Mus musculus: one gene and its partners. The protein of the gene in region 3 binds, or shares a complex with, the protein of the main gene of each other region. Links are inferred from orthologs where the notes say so. Each region holds a gene or a part of one and is shown on either strand. Other genes may lie near its edges. The genes, in order: Polr3g, Polr3c, Crcp, Polr3e, Polr3f, Polr3d and Polr3k.

Region 1 (3,574 bases), on a different chromosome or scaffold from region 3:
GCCTTCTCTATTCCCAGCCACACTAAGCGCACATTTGTTACCACCACCCTGGATCTTTGGTTAGTTCTTTTTTGTATAGTCTTTTTTTCTAATACCGGATCTCACTCTTTAGGCCAGGCTACTCAGCAGCTCACACACCTCCACCTGCTTCCCGCTCGTCTTCCCTTTCTTACAGCTAAACCTCCAAGCCACTTAAATTTTTTTTTTGTTATTAATTTTTTTCATGAAGTATTTTGATTGCTTTTCCTCTTCCTCAATTCTTCCCTGATTCTTCCCACCTCTAACCTTCCTAACTTTGTGTTCTCTTTCTCCATCTCTCTCTTTAAAAAACAAAAACCAAGAAACAAAACCAATCAACCAAACAAAGAGGCAAGAAACAAATTCTCACAAAGATACGAAAAGAAAAATCATAACAAATGGGTAACAGGAAGATCAAATAATAACACACAAAACCAGTAAGCTTTGGCCAACTGTTCCTGAGCATGGAGCCTAGGTGTATCTAGTGAAACTCCACTGGAGAAAACTGTTTGTTCCCTTTGCCAGTGGGTACCAATGGTTATGGCTGGGATCTCATGAGCACGTCTCCTTCTTAGTGCTGGGACCTCATCTGTCTTGAACCTGTGTAGGCCCCATGTATGCTGCCACCATCTCTTGGAGTTCATATGTACATTGATCCTGTTGTGCCTGAAGACATTGCATGGAATCATCAGTCACCTCCAAACCTTGAGGGGAGTCGGGAGAGGTCATCCCACTCGGGACTGAGAGCTCCACCCACTCAGGACTGAGAGCTCCACCCACTCAGGACTCACAGCTCCACCCACTCAGCACTCACAGCTCCACCCACTCAGGACTCACAGCTCCACCCACTCAGGACTCAGAGCTAGTCAGGTTGTCTCAGGCTGAGAACCAGGTTTAAGGTTGCTGTCTCTGCTTAGCCCGTCATTGCTATCAGTGAATTTTATCCAGGTTACTCTAGTTGAATTTGTCAATGTTGATCCGGTTACGTGTGTTATATACAAATGTAAGAAATACATGAAAATAAGAGACATTATCTGGTGATATAAGTTGCTTTAAAGAATAGCTTAAGGGCTGGTGAGATGGCTCAGTGGGTAAGAGCATTGAATGCTCTTCCAAAGGTCTTGAGTTCAAATCCCAGCAACCACATGGTGGCTCACAACCATCTGTAATGAGATCTGAAGCCCTCTTCTGGAGTGTCTGAAGACAGCTACTGTGTACTTACATTAAAAAAAAAAAAAAAAAAAAAAAAGAATAGCTTAAGTTTTTGTGTTTCTAATGAATGCTTTTTCTCTTCTCACCCTAGATGATATTGAAAGGTATAGCAAACGATACATGAAGGTCTATAAAGAAGAATGGGTACCAGGTACTATAAAATTGAGTGTGCTTTTACAAAGATTCATCTTAGTTGTATTTATGTCTGTGTTTGTGTGTGTCTATGTCATGTTTGTGAGTCCCTTGGAGGCCAGAAGGAGTCAGATACCCTGGGGCTAGCATCCCAGGACAAGGCTGCTGTGACCTCCCTGATGTGGTTCTTGAAACCAAACTTTGATGGAAGGCAAGCACTCTAAAGCATCTCTCCAGCCCCTTCAAATACTTTTTAAAGACCACCTTCCCTATCAAATACCATAAAAGTTTATTAGATTCTTGGGCGTTTTCTTTGTTTTTAGCTGTCGAAAAGTAGAGTCTTTTTTTCCCCTCCTGTAATTAATTAGTAATGAAAATCACTTTAAGGATACCTTAAGTCTTTCTCATATGCTATGAGGCATAGACAAGTTTTAGCTACTAGCATACCATTTTGGTAGAAAGATGCTGAGAGGCTCGTTGTTAGCATTCACAGGTGTGACATTGCATAGCGACAGGCAGAGGGGACCTTAAAGGAAACTCATTAAACCAGTTTATGTTATAAACAGAAAACAATTGTCATAGAAATGAAATAACCTGTCAGGGTCTCTTACCAATACTGCCTGCTGTCCCTCAGACATGCATCCTTTTATACCTGTGACACTAATGTTTTTATAGAAACTGCCCTTAGGTGACTGTAAATATCATTTACAAGCTTGTCACTTTCCCAGAGTAGAGTGCTCTCTTTGCCTTGTTGATCTTAAGATGTGGGGCTAGGATGGGAACCCCTTTCCAAATCATTCTTTTTCATGGTCTAAGAAGTTTAAAACTAAAATATATGGGGCTGGAGAGGTGGCTCAGCCGGTAAGAGCACTGTCTGCTCTTTCAAAGGTCCTGAGTTCAAATCCCAGCAACCACATGGTGGCTGTACAGCCATCTGCAGTGAGATCTGACGCCCTCTTCTGGGGTGTCTGAAGACAGCTACAGTGTACTTACATATAATAAATAAATAAATCTTAAAAAAAAAAACCCTAAAATATATTCAAATCAAAAATTATCTTTGTAGGTAAAATGATAACAATGGTTAACTATTTTGTAAAAATACTCTGACATTCCTTTATCAGCAGCTCCTATCTTTAAACCATTTTTGAATATTTCAAATATTTTAACTTATATATTTGTGTTTTGTGTACATGTGTGCACATGCATATGTTTGTGTATACACCAAATGTGTGTAGATGGCCTGAGAAGGCCAAAAAAGGATATCAAATTTCCTAGAGCTGGAGTTATGCATGGTTGTGAGCCACACAGTAGGGGTGCCGGAAGCTGGACTGGGGTCCTCTGAAAGACCAGGAAGTGCTTTCACTACTGAGTCATCCCTCCCTCCAGCCCCCTTGAATCTATATTTAAAAACAAGACTAAGGATTGTAGAATACTTGCCTAGCATATACAAGGCCCCGAGTTAAATTTCTAGCACCCTCCAGAAAATTAAAAGAAAGTAAATAAAAAAAGGAATTGTTTAGTTAATGCAACGCGGAAAGCCATCCCTTGGGGAGAATTTATATGTTCAGAACTACTAGTATTTTTAATTGAAAATTTCAAATAATTATTAAAATTATTTTATGTCTTATGTATTGGCTTTGATTACCTGCCTTAACTTTTGAAAAAAAAAGTTACATAATATGTATATATCAACAGACAACTTAGAAAATACAAAGTAGCCAAATAATAATAGTAAAGAAAGCACTTGTCATCTTGATAGTAACATCCACAAAGAATTTCCATAAGATTTTTTTTTCCAAGACACTTAATTACACCATTTCAAAGCTGTTTAATGAGATCTTTTTCTCTACAGGAGAAACTATGTCAGGGTCGTTCTATTTATATTGGTTTTGTTTTGTTACATTCCACACTAAATCTGTACAAGCAGATACTAAGAAATGTTGCTGTCTTTGCATGAGCAGCTGTTACTGTGTTAACTAGCTAAGTCCAGAGCCACCAAGGACACTGAGACTTTTCTATTCTTTCTTTTGTACACATAGATTGGAGAAGACTTCCAAGAGAGATGATGCCAAGGAAAAAATGCAAAAAAGGTACACTGGCTAATAGACTGTAGTCCGAGTTTGTAAGAGTATTGCTGAAGCTCGGTATTGCAAATTCTCTAAGTGTGTCTGACATTTTGATTGTTTTACTGCCTCTTAGTGACTGTTGACTT
Region 2 (4,021 bases), on a different chromosome or scaffold from region 3:
CAGAAAAAAAAAAAAAATGGAGGGGGTGGGCTAGGAAAGTGGAGCTAAAGACACTGGCAACGTGATATCCAAAATAAGTTGAGACAGTACGTCCTACCTTCTTCCCAAAGCCATTTCCTTCGATAGCAACAGGGAGCGCAGTCTGCAAGTCATTGGTACACTGCTATTTTCACTTTCACAAGAACCCAAAAACCACTGAAGAACAAAATCTCCCTCTTCCCTGTTACCTTCCAAACCTCCTCTTTCTGTACTTCAACAAAACCTACTAAGAAGTCCTCAGCAATATGCTATTTCGGCTCACTGAGGATGCAGAAGGGGGGAGGATCTGGTTGAGAAGTGGGAAGAAAAATAAAGAGTAGGTGAGCCGCAAAAACGGAAAGAGTACAGGGGATAGGTCATCGCGAAAAGACAAGGAAGGGGACTGAGAGCAAATTGGACGCAGATTTGCCCGAGAATTCACCGAGGAGACAAAAAAAGATGGGGGTGGTATTAAAGAGCGGAAGCGAAATGAGGGGCTGATTGGAGACGCCGCGGAAATGAGGGATAGGCAGGACCCTGGCCCTGATGCCCAGGGTTTGCGACCAGTGCCCGGAGACAGCGGGCAGCAGGTACCGAGAACACCGGTGTCAAGGGAATCACGGGTGTGCGGGCAGCCTAAGACCCGGTTTCCAGCCCTAGGAGCCAAGGACCTACGCGGCGCCGGAGCGCGGGACACACGGGGCTCTTACCGGTAGTTTGGGATTGACCTCGCCCTTACAAAAGTGGCAGAAGAAACGGTGTGCGGCGACAGCGGAGCCCGCGTCCGCCCCCGCCGCCGAGGCCTCCGCCATGTTTCGCCTCCGCCGAGGATGTCCGAAAGGGCGGCCGGCGGTCCCTCCCCAGGCCGCTACCTCCCGTGCTGCGGTCGCCACCGCCGTCGCCGCCTCCTCTGGGCGGCCCGCCGCTCCGAGGCCCGCAAGGGTCACGTGAGTCCGCCCGGCCCCGAGAGGCCCGCCCGCCAGCGGCCACGCGACCCGAGGCCCGCCTCCCGGCACCAAAGGCAGAGGAGAGCCCGCCCGCCGGCACCTCAGACAGCCCCTGGCCGGTCCTCCAGCCTCCCAACGAGAGGAGAGAAAGAGCGTCCCCGGAAACCACCGACACTGTCGGCTAGAGCGGCCCGTGCTCTGACCCTTCCGCGTCCGCCTGGATGGTGCTCTACTTCTAAGAAGGGGCGATGGGAAGCTCATGAGCTGAGGCTGCTGGCCTCGGGAGGACAACATTTGGAGCTTCTAAATTAGCCCCGACCCTGAGGTTAGTGAAAACGCTGCCGGAATGAGGAGGCCCTGACTCAGGGCCAAGAAACAAAGTCCGGAACAGAAACTTGCATGAAGGGAGAGGAGCCAGGAAATGCATTCAAGGATGGCAACTGGTCTAAGGATGTTTCTCCAAAGACGTGTGTGTGGCTAAGTGAAATAGTCTTCTCTGCGACACTGTGGCAAGAGGGACAAAAATTTAGGTTCGAGAGAGTTGGAGCTTGTGATAGGGAGGTAATTTCAAAATCAACTACACCCATTCCTGCTTGTGTCTCATGATGTAAAAATTTAATATGGTTCTCAATGGAACATAACTTCATCTCCTAATTGAAATACCCTAAGAAGCTCTTTTTTTACTTTATCTATCTAAGTCGTGGTTTATGGCTTGGGAATAAGTTGTACCCCACTGGGTCATGAGCCTTAGGTCTTTGTATCTGTGACAGAAAGTTATTCGCACTTTCCCTCCCCCTTTGCTTTTAAAGGTCTCACTCTGGACCAGATTTGCTTGGTATTTATTATGTAGCCCAGGCTGGCCTTCAGTTTATGACAGTCTTCTAGCTTTAGTGCTGGAAATACAGATGTTAGCCACCATACCGAGATGAATCCAGTCTTTAAAGATTATTGGAACCACAAACCACATATATTCCCATTAAAATAAATGGCATATATAGGGGAGGATGGCTTGCCTTTTTTTTTTTTTTTTTTTTAATTTTAATAGGATCTCATGTAGCCAACCTGGTTTTGAACTCAATATGTAACCATGAGCTCCTGACCCTCATACTTCCACCTCCTAAGTGCTGAAATTGTAGGCTTGCACCACCATACCTGGCTTTAGAAAACAAATTTGATGTCTAGTTTTCTAGTTCTTTGTTTTGGTGGGTGGTGGGTGTATTACCCACCAGAGTCTTGCTGTATAACACAGGCTGGCTTTGAACTCACTTTGTGCCCAGGTTGACCTGGAACTATTGATTCTTTGACTTTGGTCTCCTGTGTGCAAGAATTACAGGCAGTGTACACCATCATATCTGACCATTGCAATTACTAAATGACAACACATTAGGAATATTTTATGGTAGTTATATTGTATGAAGTCATTTTAAATGTTGGCATAGTATACTCTCTTAAGGTTATACTATAATTTATTGATAGATGCTAGATTATTTATGTCAATGCCAGTATTGTGAAGAGAACTCATGGCATGGTTTTTACTACATCCTTGGAACAAAGGATCTCAACTTATAAATATTAAGGCAAATATATGCCTTAATATATAGAGGGTTTGATTTATATTGTCAAGTTGCCCTCTAGAAAAAAAATATGTGAATTTATATTGTTGTTCTTTCCTAGTTCTGAGGCTCTAAGAACGATGACTCAAGCAGAGATTAAACTGTGTTCTTTGTTGCTGCAAGAGCATTTTGGTGAGATTGTAGAAAAAATTGGAGTCCACCTAGTCAGAACTGGAAGCCAGCCACTTAGAGTAATTGCCCACGACACAAAAGCATCCCTGGACCAGGTATGTTTAGATAAGAGAGTCTGTTCCTCTTCAACTTCTTCAATCATTTCCTTCAAGTACCTTTGGACAGGAGAACTCCTTCCCCTAGAAAGTATGAACAGAGACCGTCTGCCCTGTGGTCAGTACCACAGTGGGTGGGGTGGGGTGTGGTATTGTACTTAGGCCCCGTGTACTGCCGCTTGTGGTGTTCCTAGCTCATCTTGGCTGTTCCCATGCCACACTCATTTATTCACAGTAAGTCTACTGGTGGGGTATGGCCTTTAAGGAATACAGTGATAGAACAAAGTAAGCTGGGCTGCCCATCCTGGCCCAGAATGTAGCTCAGTTGGTAGAGTGACTACATTGTAGTGACAGTTTGAGGATTTTGGTTTCTTTAAAAATACAAAAATAGAGCCGGGCGTGGTGGCGCACGCCTTTAATCCCAGCACTCGGGAGGCAGAGGCAGGTGGATTTCCGAGTTCGAGGCCAGCCTGGTCTACAGAGTGAGTTCCAGGACAGCCAGGGCTGCACAGAGAAACCCTGTCTCAAAAAAACAAACAAACAAAAAATACAAAAATATTATAAGAATATTTTTTCATTTTAATCCCAAGTATGCAGATATGGGGCTGCTTCAGACTGTCTATGATTTGCCTCATGTTCTAGCAGAGGCATGGTTCTGCCAGCTATAGATAGTTCCTGTGATTGTGCAGTGTCTGGGATTCTGGGAACTTTTCAGAGTGTGTATAAATGCCAGCCCCAATATGTGGAGTCGGGGGGTTGGTGGTCATTTAGGGAAGTTGTGATTTACTAGTAGTGTTGGTCAAAGAAGAAACGAAAGAAATTAAATTCAGGGATTTTCCTAATTCCTCCTTGTTTCTCTCTTATGAAGTGTTAGAGGGTGAAACCCGGGTGGGGATGGGAGTGGGAAGGGAGTATCAAGGGTGGGAAAAAGAAGAACCCACAAAGTAGCAAAGACCATTCACACTGCATAGCAGCTAAAATGTCCTGCTTTGATCTCCAACACTGTATAGAACTGGGTGTGTTTATGTTTATGATCCCACGACTTGAAAGGAGGGGCTGGGAAGTTCAAGGTCACCCTCAGATACACAACAAGTGTAAGGCTTCCCTGGGCTCCAGGAGAACCACATTCAAAACAGAAAACTAGAAGAAAGATAAAGATCAGACAAAATAAGCCGGGCGTGGTGGCACACAGGCCTTTAATCCCAGCACTTGGGAG
Region 3 (4,289 bases):
TGTCCTTGTTAGTCATTCCCCTGACTGTGCTGGAGTCTAAACACAGTGTGTTATTTATGCCCTGAACTGGTCCTCCAACTGGGCTGTCAGCTAGCTTGGAGAGTGTGTATTATTCACATCTGAATCACCAGCACCCAGTGGGCAATCACGGTAAGACTGTTGAGCGAGTAACACCATGAACACCATTGTGGGACCCATTCTCCTCAAGACAGGTACAGGGCACCATTCAGTCTTACGTTATGATGACATTTTATTTACTTGATAATTTTTTAATTTAATTTTTTCTTATTTTCAAATACCATCATTCTTGGATGTACCTGTTGAACACACACACACACACACACACACACACACATGTGTTGGTTTTTATGAGACAGAGTTTTCTTTTCTTTTTGTTTTTTTGAGACAGGGTTTCTCTGTGTAGCCCTGGCTGTCCTGGAACTCACTCTGTAGACCAGGCTGCCTTGAACTAAGAACTCAGAAATCTGTCTGTCTCTGCCTCCAAAGTGCTGGGATTAAAGGCATGTGCCACCATACCAGCCAGACACCCTCTATTTCTAATACATTATCCCCTGCAAACCATTTTAACACTCACACCAATCTCAGCACTGGGAGGCAGAGGCAGGCAGATCTCTGAGTCTGAAAGGCTACTTAATGAAAATCTGTCTCTCCCCCCCAACTCCCAATTTTTAACGGTTGTATGGGAAACGGGATCTCTACATAGCCTACGTTGACTAGAATTCACCATGTTGCCCAAGCTGTCCTCAAACTCAAGGCATTCCACCTGCCTCAGCTTCCTACGTGCTTAAACCATTCCCCCAGTTCTATTTCTGTCTGTTGAGACTGGGTTTCTCTTTTCTCTGCCTCCTTCTTTCCCCCTTGTTGGAATTAGAGGCTTGTGCTACCTTGCCTGGCTTATGTTTTTTGTTTTGTTTCATTTTGTTTGGTTTTTTTTTTTTTTTTTTTTTTGGTTTTGTTTTCTGTTTTTTTGAGACAGGGTTTCTCTATGTAGCCCTGGTTGTCCTGGAACTCACTTTGTAGACCAGGCTGGCCTCGAACTCAGAAATCCGCCTGCCTCTGCCTCCCAAGTGCTGGGATTAAAGGCGTGCGCCACCACTGGCCGGCATGTGTTTTTTGTTTTTAACAAAAACAAAAACACAAAGTCTCAAATAGCCCCCATGGCTTGAAAGTCATTATGTAGCTCAGGCTGGCCAGAAACTCCTAACACTTCTCCTGCCTCAGCCTCTCTACTGCTGGGTTTACAGGTATGAGCCAGTATGACCGGTTTAGGGATTTTAATGCGGCCAAGGCAAATCCTAACAAAACCTGCACTACGAAAACGCTCGACAGTCTGAAATTAGACCAGGATAGGGACACCTAGAATTAAGGAAGAACCGGGCGTGCCCCGCAGCGATCCCGGCATGCACCCCGGCGGTCCCAGCGTGCCTTGCGGCACACACACGGAACCGGTGAGCAGAGCAGCGCCGGCGCAACGTGAGACTCTTCTCACGGCGGTTGCGTACGCTGAGGCAGAGGCAACATGGAAGTGTAAGCGACACGACCAGGGGAAGCCAGGATCATCTGGGGACCGCGAAGCGGCCGGCGGCTAGACCTCGGGACCCGCGAGCAGGACGGGTGGGCGGGGTGCACGGGCCGGAAGTGCCTGGAAGTGGGGCGGCAGGGGAGGGACCCTGCTGCTTGGGAACTCGCTCGCCTCCCACATCTTTTGGGGAGGGGAATGTTGAAAGGATAGAGAGGTTTCCTTTTTTTCTTTCTTTTGGTTCTGGGAATGGATCCCAAGACCGTGCACGCGGTCTGGAAGTAGTGCGACCCAGAGATAACGTCCCAGTCATTATCATTACTATCTTGGGATGTGGACTTTGCATACGCTAGGGAAACACTCTACTACTGACTGAGTCATATTCCCAGCCAGCATCATCACCATCATCGTTTTGTGATGGTGGAAATGGTACCCAGGACTTTGCTGGGCAAAGGCTTTGCCACCGACCTGCATCGCCAGCCATTATCGCTATTGTTATTTTGGAAATTTGAGGAAGGTACCCAGGGTTGTGATCGTACTGGGTGTGCTAGTTTTCTTTCGGTTGCTGTGACAAACACCATGACCAAAGCAATTTAGGAATAGAAAGGTTTTTATTACATCTTACACTTCCAGGACACAGTCCATCATTGAGGGAAGTCAGGGCAGGAACTCGAGGCAGGAAACCGAAGCTTCAGAAACAGTTCAAGAACTCTGATGGCTGGTTTACTCTCTGGCATTTTCTAATTTTTGTTTGTTTGTTTGTTTGTTTGTTTTTTTGAGACAGGGTTTCTCTGTGTAGCCCTGGCTGTCCTGGAACTCACTTTGTAAACCAGGTTGGCCTCAAACTCAGAAATTCGTCTGCCTCTGCCTCCCAAGTGCTGGGATTAAAAGCCTGTGCCACCACCAGTTGGCCAGGTTGTACCCTCCTGCATCATTTAATAATCAAGACGATCCCTCATGGACATGCCCATAGACCAGCCTGATAAAAGGCAGTTTGTCATTGAAGCTTCGTCTCCTTTTGATGATTCCAAGCTGTTTCAAGTTGACAGTTAAGACCAACCAGAAAACCAGGCCAAGTTTCCCCCCCACTCCCTCCAGACAAGGTTTTTCGGTAGAGCTCTGGCTGTCCTGGACCACGCTTTTTAGACCAGGCTGGCCTTGAACTCAGATATCCATCTGCCTCTGCCTCCTGAGTGCTGGGACTAAAGGTGTGCGCCACTACCGCCTGGCAACTAGGCAGATTTCTGAACAGTACCCCCAGCTGTTGTTGGGATATACTCTTCTTCCTTCTCCTCATCATTATGGTCATCATTTTGTGATGTTGGGGATGGTACTCACAGTCTTACACATGCTTGGCAGGTACCACTGAATGACAGACACCTTCCACACCGTTATTATCATTGTTATTGTGATGATGATGTGGTGTGGTGCTGGGGATAGAACCTAGGGATGGTAAGCAGGTACTTTATTACTAACACACACACACACACACATACACACACACACACATATACACATACACACACGCACATACACGCACACACACACACACACACATATACACATACACACACGAACATACACACATATTCTCTCTCTCTCTCTCTCTCTCTCTCTCTCTCTCTCTCATGTGGTGTTTGGGATGGAAGGGACCTGAACATGCAGACAGTCACTCTACTAACAACAAAGCTACCTGTCAGCTTATTTTTCCACACTTTTTTTTTTTGTTTTTGTTTTTTTTTTGGGACAGGGTTTCTCTGTGTAGCCCTGGCTGTCCTGGAACTCACTCTGTAGCCCAGGCTGGCCTCAAACTCAGAAATCCGCCTGCCTCTGCCTCCCGAGCGCTGGGATTAAAGGTGTGCGCCACCACACCCGGCTCCCTGTGCCTTTTAATATATGGTCTACTATATAGTCAGAGTTGGGAAACTGGACCTCTTCTTCCTTTTACAGCTAGCACTTAGAAAGGAGAGGCAACAGATACATAACAAGCCAGCAATAGGCTTCAGATGAGAGTGCCTGTTGGCTGGCTGTGAGGTGGGAGGGAGCTCTAGGTGAAGTGTTCGTTGACTTCGATGCCTTCTGTTTTCTGGTATCAAAGGGTAGCTTTTCAGAACATGAATTGATGGCATGCTGCTTTTAAGCTTAGAAAAGTTTAGCAATTCTGTTCGTCACTCCGTCCCTAAGTCAGGTGTGTGGCAATTAATAGGCACTGCTCACTTGTTTGGTGTGTGCTTGTGTGTGCTTTTAAGGAAAGAGTGTCAATAGATCATTTTGTTCTGTGTATTCAGAACTCTGTTTTCCAAAATGCCTGTTTACTTCTGTTGAGCTGACTCAGCAAACTTTGCAGGGTAAATTTCAAATGGCAAGTCAGCTTCAGTTCACTAAGGAGTTGCTCAAGGGCACTGAATAACCACCCACCTACCGCACAGACTCCACAGTCTTTAAAATTCACTCGGACCCAGGGTCGTGCTCCTTAGGAGTGGGGGCAGGAGGAGCACAAGGCCGAGGGCAGCCGCAGCTGCAGAGCAGGTTCCAGGCCAGCCTGTGAGTCTGTCACAGTGAGAGCCTGTCTCAAAAACACACTGAAAAGGCCCAATCTGTACTGAGGCGATCCTGCCTCCACCGCCCTGTCCCCTTCTGCGCTGGCTTGAGTTGTCCGGCAGTGACTTGGAATGGCCAAGGTCACGTTTCTCAATCACGAAAGCAGAGAGCCGTGGGATTTGGAAATGACATTACCTGTGACTCAGAT
Region 4 (3,574 bases), on a different chromosome or scaffold from region 3:
CCAATATGGTAACATGACATTTTGTTAGGAATTTCTTTGGTGGCTTTTTGTGTGGACTGAAACCCTGGTGTCCATTGGGAAGGACACTGGTCACTCTTGCGTCTAGGTAGGGACCTGGCTGGGAGTGTCCCTGGGGAGCTGTGCCATGGCACTTTCCAAGTTGGGTGGTGCTTTGTACCTTCAGGTAGAGCTTGAGATGGCCATCGACACCCTGAATCCCAACTACTGCCGCAGCAAAGGGGAGCAGATCGCACTGAACGTGGACGGTGCCTGTGCTGACGAGACTAGCACATATTCCTCGTGAGTTCCTGCCCCCAGGGTCCCTCCCACTGAAGGTAAAGGTTAAAGAGGAGTCTCTAGTGGCCTCAGGCATTGGGTCCTTTCTGCCCTTTCCCTGGGATCCCAATCATGTCAGGTCTCTACCGTTAACCAAGAGTGTTGTTGGCCTTCCCTCCTACGTTGGCTTATCCCAGCGGGTGCCCATCATTATCCCTTGATCCCTCAGAGCTCTGGGTTTTCTCATCCCTTAGTCCTAGCTAGTATACATTGGATTGACAAGGCTCTGAGAATAGAGGAAGCGTTCCAAAGTTGTATCACAAGTGCTCACTTTTAATCCCAGCACTCGGGAGGCAGAGGCAGGTGGATCTCTGTTGGGATGGAATAGGGTTGGCCGGCTTCTGTAGAGCATCATAGCCCTTGACACTAATTCTCCTTGTGTTCCCAGAAAGCTGATGGACAAGCAGACCTTCTGCTCCTCCCAGACCACCAGCAACACAGCTCGTTATGCCGCTGCACTCTACAGGCAAGGTACCTGGGAGAGCTGGCTATACCCTGGGAGAGCACGGGGAAGACTGGGCCTGAGGACCTCATCTAGTCTTATGTGTGCTGTTGGCTGCTACTGAACACTAAACTGTGCAGGATCAGGGCAGTGTGGAAATGAAAAACTATGGAGTCAAAGCACTGCGAAGAGGACTTTGCTGGGCACTTCCAACTTGGTAGAGTTGGAGCTTCAAGTCAGTTTGCTCCTGGGAACACATATGCAACATAGCATAGTATTGGACAGGCTGCAGAATTTTGTCCTTTTAAGTACATGCTACTTAGAACCAAGCAATCCTATTCATACATGGGCAGCATGCACTGAGGACAAATAGAAATATGTGTATATAAAACCTTGGACACAGATGTTCATAGGACCTTATTCATGAGAGCCAATGAATGGAAACGGCCCCAAACCTATCACGTGATGCCTGCGTAAACAAAATGTGCCATATCCACAGGACATCTATAAGGATAACAGACTTATCTGCTCATGTGAAAGAGCGAATCCCTGATGAATGTATGCATCCATGTGGATGGTAGAAATCATGCTCAAAACACTGCATATAGCCAGGCATGGTGGTACACACTTTTAATCTCAGCATGCCCTTAATCCCAGTGCTTGTGAGGCAGATGCAGGTGGATCTCTTGAGTTCTGGACCATCCTGGTCTAAATAGTATATAGGACAGCCAGGGATATAGAGAGAGACTTGTCTCAAAACAGACACCACTAACAACAAAAAAATGATAGCGAACTACGTGCTTTAATTTTCTTTCCTATTCCTGTGACAAAACACCTTGACAAAAGCAGATGAGGGAAAAAGAGGTTCACAGTTGCAGTTTACAGACCTTCCTGAGAGGCTGAACCAGCAGGAAGTAATTACACAGTCAAGATGAGAGCAATGAATACATGTATGCATGTAGTACTCGGCTTGCTCTCTACACTCTTGTTCAGGACCCTCTGCCCATTGTAACAGTTCCACCCACAGAGAGTGTGCTGTCTCGTTAATCACCATAATGCGCCACAGACGTGCCCCAGGCTAACAGTCTAGCCACTCTGACTGAGACTCCAGGTGTTGTCAGGTTGACAGAGCTAACCATTCTACTATATCCCCAAGGGCAGAAGAAGGTGATCATGGGAAGTACAGGTTCTTTTTGAGGTGTTGAAGATGTGCCAAAGCTGAGAGTGGCAGAGTTGCCACAATTTTGAGACTATATTAGTGTATATCAAGCTGTGTGCTTCAGCTGGGGGTGTCTAGTGTGTCAGAGCACACTCCGCACATCTGTTGGCTGCTCAAGGTACTACATTCAGCACTTGGGCTTTGCAAAGCAACGAATGACAGGCTCTGAGAAGAGAGGAGACATTCCGAAGTGTATCACTAGTGCTCACCTTTAACCCCAGCACTCGGGGGCAGAGGCAGGGCGTCTGGTATATTACACGGTACGTCCAGGACTTCTAAGGCCATGTAGGGAGATCCTGTCTCAAGAATCCTGTTGTCGTCCATAGCTACTGTCTTGTTCTGAACTACAGCTCAATGCTGCAACACTACCCACCCTCCTGCCCCCCGCCCCCTTTTTTTTCTTTTTCTTTTTTTTTTTGAGATAGGGGTTTCTCTGTAGTCCTGGCTGTCTTGGAATTCACTCTGTAGACTAGAGTGGCCTCAAACTCAGAGATCCACCTGCCTCTGCCTCCCAAGTACTGGGACTAAAAGTGTGTGCCACCACTGCCTGCTCATCTGTTGTTAGATTTATTATGTCTGACTGCTTTGTCTGCACGTGTGTATGTACATTGCTTGCGTGCCTGGTGCCTGCAGAGTCCAGAATTGGAGTTAGGAGTGCTTGTGAGGGGCCGTATTTGTGCTAGGAATCAGATGTGGGTCCTCTTGAAGAGCAGTAAGTGCTCTTAACTGCTGATCCATCTCTCCAGCCCAGGAAGCTATAATCCTTGCAGCCAGAGACATATTAGTTAAAGGCTATGCTGTCCTCTAATGGACTCTGGTAGGGTCTGGCAACAGCACTATAGCAGAGCCCAGAGGGAAGAGTGGGTGAGTTGTGCATTGTGGATAGAGGGAGCAGTAGGCATGAGGTTGGAGACATGACATGGCAGAGAGTGTAGAGAGGCAAATCTCAGGAAGTAGCCTTGAGCAGAATCAGGCTCCTGCTCTGGGCGTGCTTAGTGTGTCTAGTTGGAAACAGCTCCTGACCTGGTCTCCTGAAGAGGCTAAATTGGAATTGGAGTTGGCTTGGTGTTGTAACAGTGAGTGTAGGCCTTCTGGGGGACTTGGTGTTTCCTTTGAGCAAGTTGGGTATGTCGGCTTTGGGTTGTAGCGGCATGTTCAAACCCTTCTTCTTTTGCCAGGTGAGCTCCACCTGACACCTTTACATGGCATCCTACAGCTTCGGCCCAGCTTCTCCTACCTTGATAAGGCAGATGCCAAGCACCGAGAGAGGGAGGCAGCCAATGAGGGTGAGCCTGCTGACAGCCTGTGGTCTGAATGAGCTCACGTGAGCACTTGACAGAGATCAGGTGGTGGGATTCTTACTGACATGCCAGGCCCTTGCCTACTAAATACCACATCTGGGACAACCAAAAAATGTCCCCACAGATGGCCAGACATCACCTGAGGATTAAACTGCTCCAGTTGAGAGCAGGGCCCCTTGCTTGGCGCTCTTGAGGGAGGGTTATGTTGGGGCAGAATGAGCAGTCCCAGTAGAGACTGTACTGACAGCTTGCTTTGCAGCAGGGGATTCTTCTCAG
Region 5 (3,574 bases), on a different chromosome or scaffold from region 3:
AATAAAAATAATTAGAAAAAAAAAAAAAACCAAACCAAAACAAACAGCTATCCTAAAATGGTGCAGTACAGGTGTTTAGTGAGTGGCCAGAATAGCCTGAATAAAGGACAGATGGGGACCTCTGAATTGAATTTTGTGATCCCATGTTGCCGTTTCATGAAGAAGGGAGGGCACTGCAGTTTATCCAGTAAGTAAACCTATTTTACATTCTTAATATGCAGTAGGGCCCCCTCTTGGTTATAGTTATATATAACTTCTGCAAGTTCAGTGGTACATGCATCTGGATTCTCAGGATGCCCAGGTCCAAGGAGGTTCAAAAGCACGATAGAACATGATTTATCTTATTTTGCTTCATTATAAAAAATACCACTACAGGAGACCTTTTGTTCACTGGTTAACCTTTTTGCCTAATTCTCCATTCACAATTAAATTGTACATGTTAGTAAATGTCATTAATAACTATAGTTTAACTTAGTATACTGTTGAATATTCATGTTTATACTTTATCTGGACTAAATTTTTATCAGTACAAATTCTATTTTAATTGTATCTATCCATATTTTATATAATTGGGACTTATTTAGAATCAATATGGATATATATATATTATCCTAAAACAACTTTTTAAAAATGATTTCTTTTTATTTATTGTGTGTGAGTGTTTTGCATGCATGTATTGTCCCTGCACTGCATGCATGCCTGGTACCCACAAAGACCACAAGAGGACACTGATCTCCTGGAACTGAAGTTAGACTGTTGATAGCTGCATGTGGGTACTGAGCACTGAACCCCAGTCCTGTGTAAGAACTCTTAGTGCTCTTCTTAACTGCTGAGCTGTCTCTTCTTCCCCCAGGTTAAGAGCGTTTGCTACTCTTACGAAGGCCTGAGTTTCCAGTACCCACATACAAGATGATTTGCACCTGGCTGTAACTTCAATACCAGGGATTCAGTGCTCTCTTTTGGCCTCCATGAGCATTGTTTACAAATGGTGCACAGATATATATGCTAGCAAAATATCCATATATAAGAAATAAAATAATTTTTCCCCTGAGACAGAGTTTCTCCGTATAGCCTTGACTGTTCAGAAACTCACTCTGTAGACTACTAGGCTAGCCTAAAACTCATGTCTGCCTGTTTTTGTTTCCTGAGCCCTGGGATTAAAGGTATGTGCCACTACCACAACTGACAATAGATTTTTAAAAAAAACTTGTTTGTGGCTGGGTGTGGTGGCACACGCCTTTAGTCCCAGCACTTGGGAGGCAGAGGCAGGCGAATTTCTGAGTTCGAGGCCAGCCTGGTCTACAGAGTGAGTTCCAGGACAGCCAGGGCTACACAGAGAAACCCTGTCTCAAAAAAAAAAAAAAAAAAAAAAGAAAAGAAAAGAAAAGAAAAAAACAAGAACAAACTTGTTTGTGCCCTGGCCAAATTATGAAACCAGGTTAGTATATAGGACACAATTAGTATCTCTAGCTTGAACTGTCTTTATATTAGTTTTAAAAAATACCTTGTTTGAGGTGTGCAAACAAAATCCTCAGTCTCGGATGAAGAACTAACAAATGTGGGTAGCAGAATAGTGTGTATAATCAACACATTTAAAACTGTAGTAAACTTGCCATCTGAACTGATATATTTCCAGAGTAATTGACTATGATATTTTATTTTAAAACGCTTTAGGGTCAGTTGGATCTTTTAAGGAGTAACACAGGCCTCTTATATAGAATAAAGGATTCTCAGAATGCTGGGTAAGTAAGCACCTATTTTTTAATTTTGTGAAAAATGTGTTTATTGCAAAAGTAATGTACATATTAAAACAAATGCTAACATAGTAACAGGTATTGTGGCACACACCCATATCACTGCACTTGGGAAGTAGGGCAGAAAATTTAGGGCTATCCTGAGCTACACAGCAAGTTGAGGGCCAGCCTGAGCTATGTGAGAGACTGTATGAACATAATGTAGCTCAGTATGTGGTGCACACCTGTAGTCTTGACACATGGGGGCAGAGGCAGAATGATAAGGTTGAAGACAATTTTAAGCTATGTGTCAAAAGATCCTGCCTCGAAGTAAGAACCCAGAAGAAACTGTACCATCCTGCTTTTGTTCTGTGTTTCCATTTCCCAGAGGACCTGCTCTTGGTAATTTCTTCTAGACAGATTTAAATATTCATGGATGATTCTATATATATTATTTCTTTTTTCCCTTTCTTTCTCGCTCTTCTTCTTTCTCTCTTTTCTTTCTTTCTCTCACAAGTCTGGATCATGCTATCCATACTGTTCTGTAACTTTTTTTTTTATTATTTATTGTACTTTGGACATCTTTTCATATTGTTACACACAACTCTGTCTCATTCTTTTTAAGGTAAGCCTTTCTTTTGCTAAATAAGTCAGCATGATAGCCTTGTCTGCTAATGAAGTAGTCATGCAGATGATAACACAGCCTACAATTTTTCCTTTTTTAATTCTGCTCTATTCCCTGCAGTAAAATGAAGGGGTCCGATAACCAGGAAAAACTGGTCTATCAAATCATAGAGGATGCAGGGAATAAAGGTGAGTATGGGAAGGGTGAGGTGCTGTCTGCAGGGCTAGACCTAAAAAAGTGTTCTGTTCATTTGTTTACGAGAAGGTCCCATCCTGTAGACCAGGCTTTCATACTCAGTATCTTCTGGTCTGGTCTTCCTGATATTTGAGATTGCAGGCATATCCTGTTACATGCAGCTAAGCATGTATGTTTTGTACATAGTCTCTTTCTTCATGTACAACTTTGTTTGAAGGAAAACTCATAACTTCCCACAATGGGTATTGAGTTTAAGAACCATAGCCTTATTTTTTTCCATCTTACAAGTAGGATGTTGTTTAAATAATAGATGTACATGAATTGAAGCAGGTAAACTTTTGTATCCCCCACCCCCACCCCATGGTTGAAGATGGCAGATGAACATGATTCAAATTTAAGTTCCTTTTCATTTACAGTGTTTTTTTTGGTTTTTGTTTGTTTGTTTTCGTTTTTCTTGTTTTTCGAGACAGGGTTTCTCTGTGTAGCCCTGGCTGTCCTGGAATTCACTCTGTAGACCAGGCTGGCCTCGAACTCAGAAATCTGCCTGCTTCTGCCCTCCAAGTGCTGGGATTAAAGGTGTGCGCCACCGAAGTGAAACTATCAGGAAGATGAGATTAGGGTAAAAGATTGGAAAGGAGATGTGATGTAAGCTAATTCAACCATGTTCGTGGTTTGTGTGGTGGGGTTTTTTTTTTTTTTTTTTTTCATTACAAAAATGTTGTTGTTTTATATATATTTTAGAAAATGTCCCTCTAGATGGTGATACATCACTTTATCCTAGTACGAGGAGAGGCAGAGGCAGGTGGATCTCTGAGTTCAAGGCCAGCATGGTCTGTACCGCAGCTGCATAGTGAGGCCCTCTCAAAAAACAAACAAAACAAAACAAAACCACACCAAGATTCCAGGAAATGTTCAGTTAGAATGACAAAGCATATACTTTATCACTGGCTCTTGTAGTCTGTCTCTATCCCAGTGTTTGGTTTGGTTTCTTCAGGTTTTAGGTTCTGAAAACAGTTCTGAA
Region 6 (4,263 bases), on a different chromosome or scaffold from region 3:
CAACATGCCTGGCTTGTCACATAATTTCCCCCCCCCCCTTTTTTTTTTTTAAATAACTGCATATGTATGACATCAAAATGAAGTTTACTTATTTACTATTTTCATTTTATTTATTTATTTTGGTTTTTCGAGACAGGGTTTCTCTGTGTAGCCCTGGCTGTCCTGGAACTCATTCTGTAGACCAGGCTGGCCTCAAACTCAGAAATCCACCTGCCTCTGCCTCCCAAGTGCTGGGATTAAAGGCGTGTGCCACCACTGCCCAGCAAAGTATACTTTTAATATGTACATTTTCTGAAACTCTTTCCTAGGGATATAATCTACAAGAAAGCAAAAAAGTTGGATGTATCAAATGTACACTAGCTATTTCTAACAACATACCTATTTAAAGTAAGTGCCCCATTAAGGAAACAAGTTACGATATATACATATAAATATGCACATATATATCCTCCCATTGGTCATTTGTCTCCGACAAAGAATACACTATTGTGTGGCACAATATTACAGTACATCAAAAATATTTTAATGCTAGCAGCCTATGGAATTCCAGCAGAAATAGGTTCCTTCCCTAGAATTACATAACCTTTTTATTTGTATTGGGGTCGCTGTAGTGTAACATTAAATGACTCCCCCCCCCCCAGATTAGATTGCAACCACACATTACAATAAAAAAATTTTTCAGCTGGGATTGGTGGTGTACATCTGTAATCCCTACAACTGAGGGATGAGTGAAGAGACTGGACTGCTGCAAATTCGAGGCCAGCCTGGTCTACTTAAGTTCCAGACTAGATAGGGTTACAGAGCAGGGTTGTCTTAAAAATACCCACACCTCCCAACCAAAAATCAAAAAACAAAAACCCTTCCAGTTGAAGAGCAAACTTCAGTTCCAAAGGCTTCCCAGATTTGACTAAGCAGTCATGGGCCCAGGTAGATGAGAAGAGCTATTGGCTGCTCTGTCCAAACTGCGTTAAGGGTGACACCCCAAGACCCCAGGGACCGGCAAGGGAAGGCGCACGCGAGCAAAGGGTCGAGCCCGAAGGTGCAATGACCACGCCAAGGTCAACGCAGGGAGGCTGCAGCCAGCCACGGCCTGAGGGCTCTAAGCTCCCTATGTCCGGAGCCCCATCCCGAGCGGCGACCCCACTGCTCCCAGAGGCTGCGCAGTGTGGACTCCACATACAGCAGGTAGGCGACCTTGGAGCCCCTCCACCTCCGACCCCGAGGACCGCACCTCTACTCCCTGCCAGGGGCCGAGACACGCCCCCACGAGTCACACCCCGGCACAGCTTACAGTCCACCTCCCACATCCTTTTTCGCCCTCTCAACCCAGCTTTTCCCGACTCCGGGAAGAACCGGGAAGAGAAGGCGGAGGGCGGCGAGGCACCGTCGGATAAATACTATGGTCAGGTCACGCCCCCTTGATGTCACTTCCGCCCCAGGGTAAGATGGCAGCGCCCGGTCCTTGCCACGCAGACTTCCGCCTTGCCCGGAGACCCGCGGCCCGTGGTTGCTCTAGTCGGAGGTGAGGTTGTGATACTCGGCGCAGAGCCTCCACGCAGGTGCGTCACGAAGTCCCCAGGGAAAGGGCAGGTGACGGAGTCCAAAGCTAGGGGTGGGGCGCTCCGGGAAGCCTCGCCACGTGGGACGGGGAGGAGCTGAGCTGCAGCGAGAGCGACGCACGGGCGGGGGGCGGGAGGCCACGTGGGTGCGGTTCCGCCCAGGGTCCTCGCGTCCAGCCCTTGGAGTCACTTTGTTGCCTACTTTCTTCTAGGAACCATGTCGGAAGGAAACGCGGCGGGCGAGCCCAGCAATCCTGGAGGGCCGCGACCCCTTCTCTCTGGGGGCCGGGGGCTGATCGGCCGGCGGCCCGCACCCCCGCTTACGCCCGGTCGCCTTCCCTCCATCCGCTCCCGGGACCTCACCCTTGGCGGAGTCAAGAAGGTACCTGCGAGCGCGTTTGTATAGAAACCCACCCAGGCCGTAGGGAGGCGACTCGTGATGTTCATTCATGTGCTGCCTTGGGCCCCTGGTGGGATGTCAGCCTTTAGAGAGACCTGCAAACCTAGGTGCTGGTACAGGACACTGACAGGGTCTCCTAGGCAATTAAAAGACAGTGAATCTAGTTGATTCAAGACATCCGGAAGTGCTTATTATGTTCTGGGCTCCTTACAAAATCCCTTGAAAGCCAGACAAAATTGCTTTACTTGCAATTTCGAGTGTTCATAACTCTGTGGATGTCAGTATTGAAAACTAATAATCTAGTAAGTGATGAATCTTAGGCATGCCGGTAACTGCTCTTTGTCCCCTCCTGTTATGTGTGTAACAGTAGATGTAACTGTACCGAGTAGCTCTGAAAAGGAATAGCAAACACAGGATAAAGCATTTTAGCTTTGCCTTGGGGGCTACTGGTGATAGTCTACCTGTCTCTCTAAGCCATCCCAGGACTGTTGGTCAGTTGAGCACATCGAAAATACAGTACTGTGTTTTACTTTTCAGAAAACCTTCACCCCAAATATCATCAGTCGGAAGATCAAAGAAGAGTAAGTAATGAATGAACAGTACTCACCCCGGTTAGCTCTGAATTTGGGGACGTAATTAGGTTGTGTGGCCTAGAGATTTTAACTTACGCTATTAGCTTATTCACCAGTGGTTCTCATCCTTCAATCCTGGGTTATATAGGGGCATGTTTCTTTTTGAGACAGTGCCTCGCTACATGGCCTTGCATGTCCTGGAACTCACTTATGTAGGTTGCTGGCCTAGAACTCCCAGAGATGTGCTTGCCTCTCAGACCTGTGTCCTGAGTGCTGGGATTAAGATGTACACCTCCACGCTTAGCTCCAGGGCACTTTGCATTAGAGGGTCTTTTTGGTTTTTGTTTTGTTTTGTTTTTTTTCTGTAATAAATAGCTGAGATAATTGGCTTACAGAGAGGGACATTTTGTTTTGGAGATTTTAGTCCACGATCAATCAGGTGGTTCTTGCTTTTGGGTTCATGGTATGGCAATGAATGCAGTCGGAATACCCAAGGGAAGAAAGAAATTAAGGAGAGGAAAGGGCTGAGTTTCTATTCTCCTTTAGGAGCTGGGTAACCACCCAGTAGGCTCCATCTCTTATAGTTTCAGCTACCTTCTGTTTCTGCCGAGGTGGGGCTGAACTCTCCAACTTTGCCTTAAGGTCCTCTGCTCTCCAGCCTTTCTACTTTTAGAGGGTTAAAAAACCAACAAACAAAACAAAAGGCCCACATTTTGACAAGACGGTAAAGTAGAAGGAAATTAAAGGCCGTGCTTTATGGGAGATGTCAAAGGTATAGCGAAGGGTTGGGTGCCGATTCTCGTAGTGTACTTACTGGCTCACAAGCTCTGCTCAGCGGGCTGAAAGGGGCAAGCGAGGAGGCTCCATTTCCTGAGGCAGACCCTTTTGTCTGTCCTCATTCCCAGGCCAAAAGAAGAAGTGACTATGAAGAAGGAAAAGCGTGAACGGGACAGGGACCGCCAGCGTGAGGGTCACGGACGGGGACGTGGCCGCCCGGAAGTGATCCAGTCCCATTCTATCTTCGAGCAGGGTCCGGCAGAAATGATGAAAAAAAAAGGTACCAGGAAGGGACCTGGTCTGGGTTGCAGTTCAGACTGCCTGAGAAGGCAGAGCGTGGGAGTCTCCATTCCAAGTTGGGCTCTCCTCGCTGTGGGCAGTCTTCCTTATTGAACCCTAGTGGACAGCATGATTTCCCGCAGGGAACTGGGATAAGACCGTGGACATGTCCGACATGGGACCTTCTCATATCATCAACATCAAAAAAGAGAAGAGAGAAACAGACGAAGAGACCAAGCAGATCCTGCGCATGCTGGAGAAGGATGACGTAGGTGCCAGGAGCCTGGGGGACAGGTTCTTTTGTAGCTGCTAAAGAGGGTTTTGAGGGAGCCAGGCCAGGGACATGTTCAAGCTTTTGGTTACAGGAGCACTAAAGAGGGGCTGGGGGTGCAGCTCAGTGGAGAGCGAGCTTGCCTCTGTGTGAGACGTACACATATGCAAAGAAAAGAGAGAGACACAAGTCCCGAAACGGGCTGTGATGTAAGCACACGTGCTGACATTTCATGTGACCCCCCCCCCCCTCCAACTCTTTGGCAGTTCATCGATGACCCGGGGCTAAAGAATGACACACGGAACATGCCAGTGCAGCTGCCTCTGGCTCATTCAGGGTGGCTTTTTAAGGAGGAGAGTGAAGAGCCAGAGGCTAAGCCTTTTTCGGCTGGCCCCAAGGAAGAAG
Region 7 (4,334 bases), on a different chromosome or scaffold from region 3:
AGGAGCTGATGCAGAAGCCATGGAGGGATGCTCTTTACTGGCTTGCTTCCCCTGGCTTGCTCAGCCTGCTCTCTTATAGAACCAAGACTACCAGCCCAGAGATGGTCCCACCCACAAGGGGCCTTTCCCCCTTGATCACTAATTGAGAAAATGCCTTACAGTTGGATCTCATGGAGGCATTTCCCCAACTGAAGCTCCTTTTTCTGTGATAACTCCAGCTGTGTCAGGTTGACACAAAACTAGCCATAAATATTTGGCTTACATGTCAAGAGTCCATTGTTTAGGGGAGTCAATGCAGGAACTTGCTGCAGAAACAGAAGCCATTACCATGGTGGGATGCTGCTTACTGGTTTGCTCCTCATGATTTACTCAGATTCTCAGATTGCTTTTTTCTCTCTCTCCATTTTGTTCTTAGACTTACTTAAGTGTATGAGGGTTTTTGTTTGTTTGTTTTTTTTTTTTTTTGAATGCTTGTTCGTGCACCAAAGACGTGCTTGGTGCCTACGGAGGTCAGAAGAGGGCATTGGATTCTCAGGAACTGGAGGTTATGGACGTTTGTGAGCTACCATATTGGTGCTGGGAATTAAACCAGTGTTCACTATAAGAACAAGCAACAGCTGAACTATCTCTTCAGCCCCATCATTCTGCTTTCTTATATCACCCAGGACCACTGGCTTGGTGGTGACACCGCCCCCAATGGGCTAGACCCTCTCCTACCAATTTTAACTCAAGAAAATGCCCCCAGAGACTTATTTACTGGTCAATTTATGGTGACATTTTCACAATTGGGGTTCCTCTCCCTGGATATTTAGTTTGTGTATAGTTAAAGCAAACAGAAAACAACACACACATACATGTGCATGTTGCAGAATGACTGCAGAGGATTAAAGAGGCAAGGAGTTTCAAAGAAATCTGAGAAGCCAGAGCTGGGAAATATAAATGTCTATAGGAAATGAGATAAAAGAGTCAGCTGGACGTCTGTGAAAAGGAGCTGCTGGTATTTGTTACCTGCAGGGTTGAGTCTAGCTGTGTAAGTGAAAGGGCAGAATGAAACTAGGTGAAGAAATGGCCAGATGGAGGAATGGCAGGTCCAGATAGGATATCGTACGTCAGTCAGACAGCAGTTGAGACGTAGTATTAACAATGGGGACAGTGTTCCTGGGACATTTGGTTATTTTCTGTCCGTTCCGGATGAGAATATTGCGGAGCAGCATGATCCTCCTGTAACACGTCCATGGCTCGGAGTGCGGCAAGTGTCTCCTCATCACCCAGAACCTCTCACCTGGGTACTCTGGTGGTGCCAGCATTATCGGTCCAGTCCTCTTGGCGTTTCAGCTAGGGAGACGTGTGCACACGCGCAGAAACGACAGGGCTGGGCGTGCAGGCAGCATGCTATTGGCTGGATGGGAAAGGATTATCTGCGGTGACCAATGGAGTGTGCGAGGCTGCCCGCCGCAGTGCCTACTGGGAACGTCTTGAGGATCCCGGGTTGCCAGTTACGGAGCAAGTGAGACGGCTTTTGATTGGGCGCCTGCACCACGGAAGCGCCAGACAGAAGCGAGGTGTGGAAGCTGGCAGTATGCTGTTGTTCTGCCCGGGCTGCGGGAACGGACTCATTGTGGAGGAGGGGCAGCGTTGCCATCGCTTCGCCTGCAACACTTGCCCCTACGTCCATAATATCACCCGTAAGGTAAGTTCCACAGACGGGTGCCTTCTCTGCTTTCTGGGAGGCACAGCAAGCGTCGGCGCGCTCAGACCTTCCTGCAGGCTTTTGTGCTCTCGCTGCGGTGGTACCCCAAGTCCAGCAGTCGCTGCTCCAGTGGCGTCGCTCCGGCCACGTCGAAGCCCCCCCACCCCCCTCTAGCTCTCCGTTGCCCACTTTGTGATACTCCGAAAATTGTGAGAATTTTAGTTCATACCTTTTAAACCTACACTCCCCTCGTGCTGTCCTTGGCGTACCAGTCCGCGCCTCGCCTCTGATTTGAAATCCTTGGGTTCTTCTTGTGGCTCTTTTGCTCCCAGCCCCTGTCGTTATTCTAGAGAATCTTCACCATGTACGCAGTACTGTTAGGTCCTTCCTTTTGCCCGAGTCATTCTTACACAGGCACATATCACACTTATTCATTCTCCGCCTTACCCCCTACCCCCGTGTATGTGTGCATGTATGCGTCTCTGTTTCCCTCTTCCTTTCTCTCTCCCTCTCCTCTTTTAAAATAATGGCTACCTTATTTAGATTCCTGCCCTTCTGGCTGTTTGTGCATGTCTATAATTTTAGCACTTGGAGAGGCTGCGGCAGGAGAATAGGTTCAAGGCTCACCTGGGCTGCATAGCACATAGACACGCACACACACGCACGCACAGGCACAGGAAACAAACCAAACCCCAGCACTTTCAGTTTATCCACATTCCTTTTATATTTTTCACAGAATGCATTGCCTTCTAATATTTTATATCCTTGTTGCTATTTTGTGTGTGTGGTGCTTGTGTTGGAGCCCAGAAAGCTGTATTTCTAGCCCTTGGTGTTTTGTGTACCCTTCAACTCTTGTTTTGTTCCTCCTTACCTCAGTGACTGCAGGTGTGCACCACTGGGCCTTGGTGACATCTCATTCTTAATGTTTGCTCATTAGAGCTGTATGGTAGGAGTTTAGAGTCTGGATTTGTGGTAAGATGAGTTGTGACATAATTTCGAAATTAGAAGGATGCCTGATAAACTTAGGAAAGCAGCCAAAATGACCTGGGGAGTGCTGGTATACCCAGTTAAATGTCTGTCACTCCTGTTGGATTATTAGGTGTCTGAGGGGTATGAGAGAAGAGTGAGGTTTTACTAGGCTGATTTTTCTTCCTGCTCTGTCTGGTGTTTCCTTCTGTTTCTAGAGACCTTTGACATTGAACCTCTGTGCTGTTTTGGGGGACATCCCAGTCACAAGACCCCTACATTTCAGTGACTCACACTGCTCTTTGAAGAAGATAAATTTTGTAGAGGGAATGCTGGAGGGAGATTGTAGTTTGGTGGCCCACTTGTAAAACTGTACAATTACTTCAAATCTGATGTCTTGTTTCTATTAGGTAACAAACCGAAAGTATCCAAAGCTAAAAGAAGTGGACGACGTGCTTGGTGGAGCAGCTGCATGGGAGAATGTGGACTCTACTGCAGGTGAGGATTTTCCCATAACAGAGCTAGGGACTCAACCCTGCTTATTATTACTCGTTATTATATTTAATAATAATAAATTTATTATTATAATGTAACCCTGTCTGTTATTAGGGCCAGTGAGATGGCTCAGCAGGTAAAAGCACTTGTTGCCAAACCTGTTAGATTCTTGGAGCCCAGAGAGTAGAAGAGAGCTGACTGATGGAAACTTTTTTTTTGTGACTCTGTACCATCCACCACACACACACACACACACACACACACACACGTACGTACGTGTAAGTGTAAAAGAATTTAAGAAGATGTAAATAACAAAGTAATGACAAATAGCTAGTGTTTGTCACTAACTCTAAACAAGGTTTTACATTTTTGTTGCTGTTTGATTTTGTTTTTTGAGACATGGTTTCTCTGTGTAGTCTGGGTGTCCTGGAACTTGCTCTGTAGACTGTGCTGGCCTCAAATTCAGAGATCTACCTGTCTGCCTCCCGTATGTTGGTATTAAAAGCATATGCCACCACCACCTGGCTGTATTAAATGTTTTTTAAAGTAGATTCTTTCAAGTATTCTTTAAAGGAAAGTTACCATACGGATACCTGAACTGTTGTTTCATTTAGACTCTCAAGTCAGATATGGAAAAGTATAATTAAAAATAAATCTGGTGCATATTCTCTTCTTGAAGCAAAATTGGAGTTCATTACAAAAAAGTTTCAACATTGATGTAAACATAGCTGTTGAGAGGGAAAGAGAGATCCATGCTCTAGCAGGTGTAGGCTTCTCGAGAGTTATGTTGTATGTATTTTCAAATACCAACACTGAAAAAATGATCAGCCCTGGTCTTTTATTTTCATTTTATTTTTTATTATATGAATTAAAAAAAAATTGTAACTAGGGGTGAAGCATGGTTGCTCAAGCTTATAATTCTGGTGCTCTCCGGGTATAGGCAGAAGGCTCAGTGCTTATCTGGGCTTCATGAGACCCTGCCTCAGTCAGTCTGTCAACCAAGAAATAGTTGGGTAGGATTTCAGTGGTTAAGTTGGATTTCCTTCCCAACTTCCATAGCAGCTCAGACCTTCTGTACTTGTAGTTTCAGGTGATCTCATGCCCTCTACTGGCATCCAAGGGTACTGCATGAACATGATTCACGGAATACCTGAAGGCAAAACATGCACATAAAATAATGTTA

The links.
Region 1: Crcp (region 3) and Polr3g share a complex: the UniProt entries of both Homo sapiens proteins name them as parts of the RNA polymerase III complex. The link is inferred for Mus musculus from reciprocal best matches to the Homo sapiens genes CRCP and POLR3G.
Region 2: Crcp (region 3) and Polr3c share a complex: the UniProt entries of both Homo sapiens proteins name them as parts of the RNA polymerase III complex. The link is inferred for Mus musculus from reciprocal best matches to the Homo sapiens genes CRCP and POLR3C.
Region 4: Crcp (region 3) and Polr3e share a complex: the UniProt entries of both Homo sapiens proteins name them as parts of the RNA polymerase III complex. The link is inferred for Mus musculus from reciprocal best matches to the Homo sapiens genes CRCP and POLR3E.
Region 5: Crcp (region 3) and Polr3f share a complex: the UniProt entries of both Homo sapiens proteins name them as parts of the RNA polymerase III complex. The link is inferred for Mus musculus from reciprocal best matches to the Homo sapiens genes CRCP and POLR3F.
Region 6: Crcp (region 3) and Polr3d share a complex: the UniProt entries of both Homo sapiens proteins name them as parts of the RNA polymerase III complex. The link is inferred for Mus musculus from reciprocal best matches to the Homo sapiens genes CRCP and POLR3D.
Region 7: Crcp (region 3) and Polr3k share a complex: the UniProt entries of both Homo sapiens proteins name them as parts of the RNA polymerase III complex. The link is inferred for Mus musculus from reciprocal best matches to the Homo sapiens genes CRCP and POLR3K.

Annotation. Positions count from the first base shown.
Region 1 is NC_000079.6:81,687,004-81,690,577, reverse strand, and holds part of Polr3g (DNA-directed RNA polymerase III subunit RPC7), read left to right. Parts: intron 1-1,321; coding exon 1,322-1,381; intron 1,382-3,401; coding exon 3,402-3,452; intron 3,453-3,574. UniProt on the Homo sapiens protein: DNA-dependent RNA polymerase catalyzes the transcription of DNA into RNA using the four ribonucleoside triphosphates as substrates.
Region 2 is NC_000069.6:96,724,618-96,728,638, reverse strand, and holds the start of Polr3c (DNA-directed RNA polymerase III subunit RPC3), read left to right. Parts: upstream 1-1,199; 5' UTR 1,200-1,290; exon of another isoform or gene 1,291-1,526; intron 1,527-2,639; 5' UTR 2,640-2,658; coding exon 2,659-2,805; intron 2,806-4,021. Other genes in the region: E3 ubiquitin-protein ligase RNF115, read right to left, coding at 729-830. UniProt on the Homo sapiens protein: DNA-dependent RNA polymerase catalyzes the transcription of DNA into RNA using the four ribonucleoside triphosphates as substrates.
Region 3 is NC_000071.6:130,027,860-130,032,148, forward strand, and holds the start of Crcp (DNA-directed RNA polymerase III subunit RPC9), read left to right. Parts: upstream 1-1,446; 5' UTR 1,447-1,540; coding exon 1,541-1,548; intron 1,549-4,289. UniProt on the Homo sapiens protein: DNA-dependent RNA polymerase catalyzes the transcription of DNA into RNA using the four ribonucleoside triphosphates as substrates.
Region 4 is NC_000073.6:120,927,704-120,931,277, forward strand, and holds part of Polr3e (DNA-directed RNA polymerase III subunit RPC5), read left to right. Parts: intron 1-184; coding exon 185-300; intron 301-724; coding exon 725-807; intron 808-3,175; coding exon 3,176-3,283; intron 3,284-3,545; coding exon of another isoform or gene 3,546-3,557; coding exon 3,558-3,574. UniProt on the Homo sapiens protein: DNA-dependent RNA polymerase catalyzes the transcription of DNA into RNA using the four ribonucleoside triphosphates as substrates.
Region 5 is NC_000068.7:144,530,680-144,534,253, forward strand, and holds part of Polr3f (DNA-directed RNA polymerase III subunit RPC6), read left to right. Parts: intron 1-1,674; coding exon 1,675-1,742; intron 1,743-2,478; coding exon 2,479-2,546; intron 2,547-3,574. UniProt on the Homo sapiens protein: DNA-dependent RNA polymerase catalyzes the transcription of DNA into RNA using the four ribonucleoside triphosphates as substrates.
Region 6 is NC_000080.6:70,440,629-70,444,891, reverse strand, and holds the start of Polr3d (DNA-directed RNA polymerase III subunit RPC4), read left to right. Parts: upstream 1-1,420; 5' UTR 1,421-1,559; intron 1,560-1,664; exon of another isoform or gene 1,665-1,771; 5' UTR 1,772-1,776; coding exon 1,777-1,941; intron 1,942-2,496; coding exon 2,497-2,540; intron 2,541-3,436; coding exon 3,437-3,588; intron 3,589-3,728; exon of another isoform or gene 3,729-3,730; coding exon 3,731-3,855; intron 3,856-4,124; coding exon 4,125-4,263. UniProt on the Homo sapiens protein: DNA-dependent RNA polymerase catalyzes the transcription of DNA into RNA using the four ribonucleoside triphosphates as substrates.
Region 7 is NC_000068.7:181,862,880-181,867,213, forward strand, and holds the start of Polr3k (DNA-directed RNA polymerase III subunit RPC10), read left to right. Parts: upstream 1-1,480; 5' UTR 1,481-1,579; coding exon 1,580-1,690; intron 1,691-3,066; coding exon 3,067-3,154; intron 3,155-4,334. UniProt on the Homo sapiens protein: Core component of RNA polymerase III (Pol III) which synthesizes small non-coding RNAs using the four ribonucleoside triphosphates as substrates. Can mediate Pol I proofreading of the nascent RNA transcript.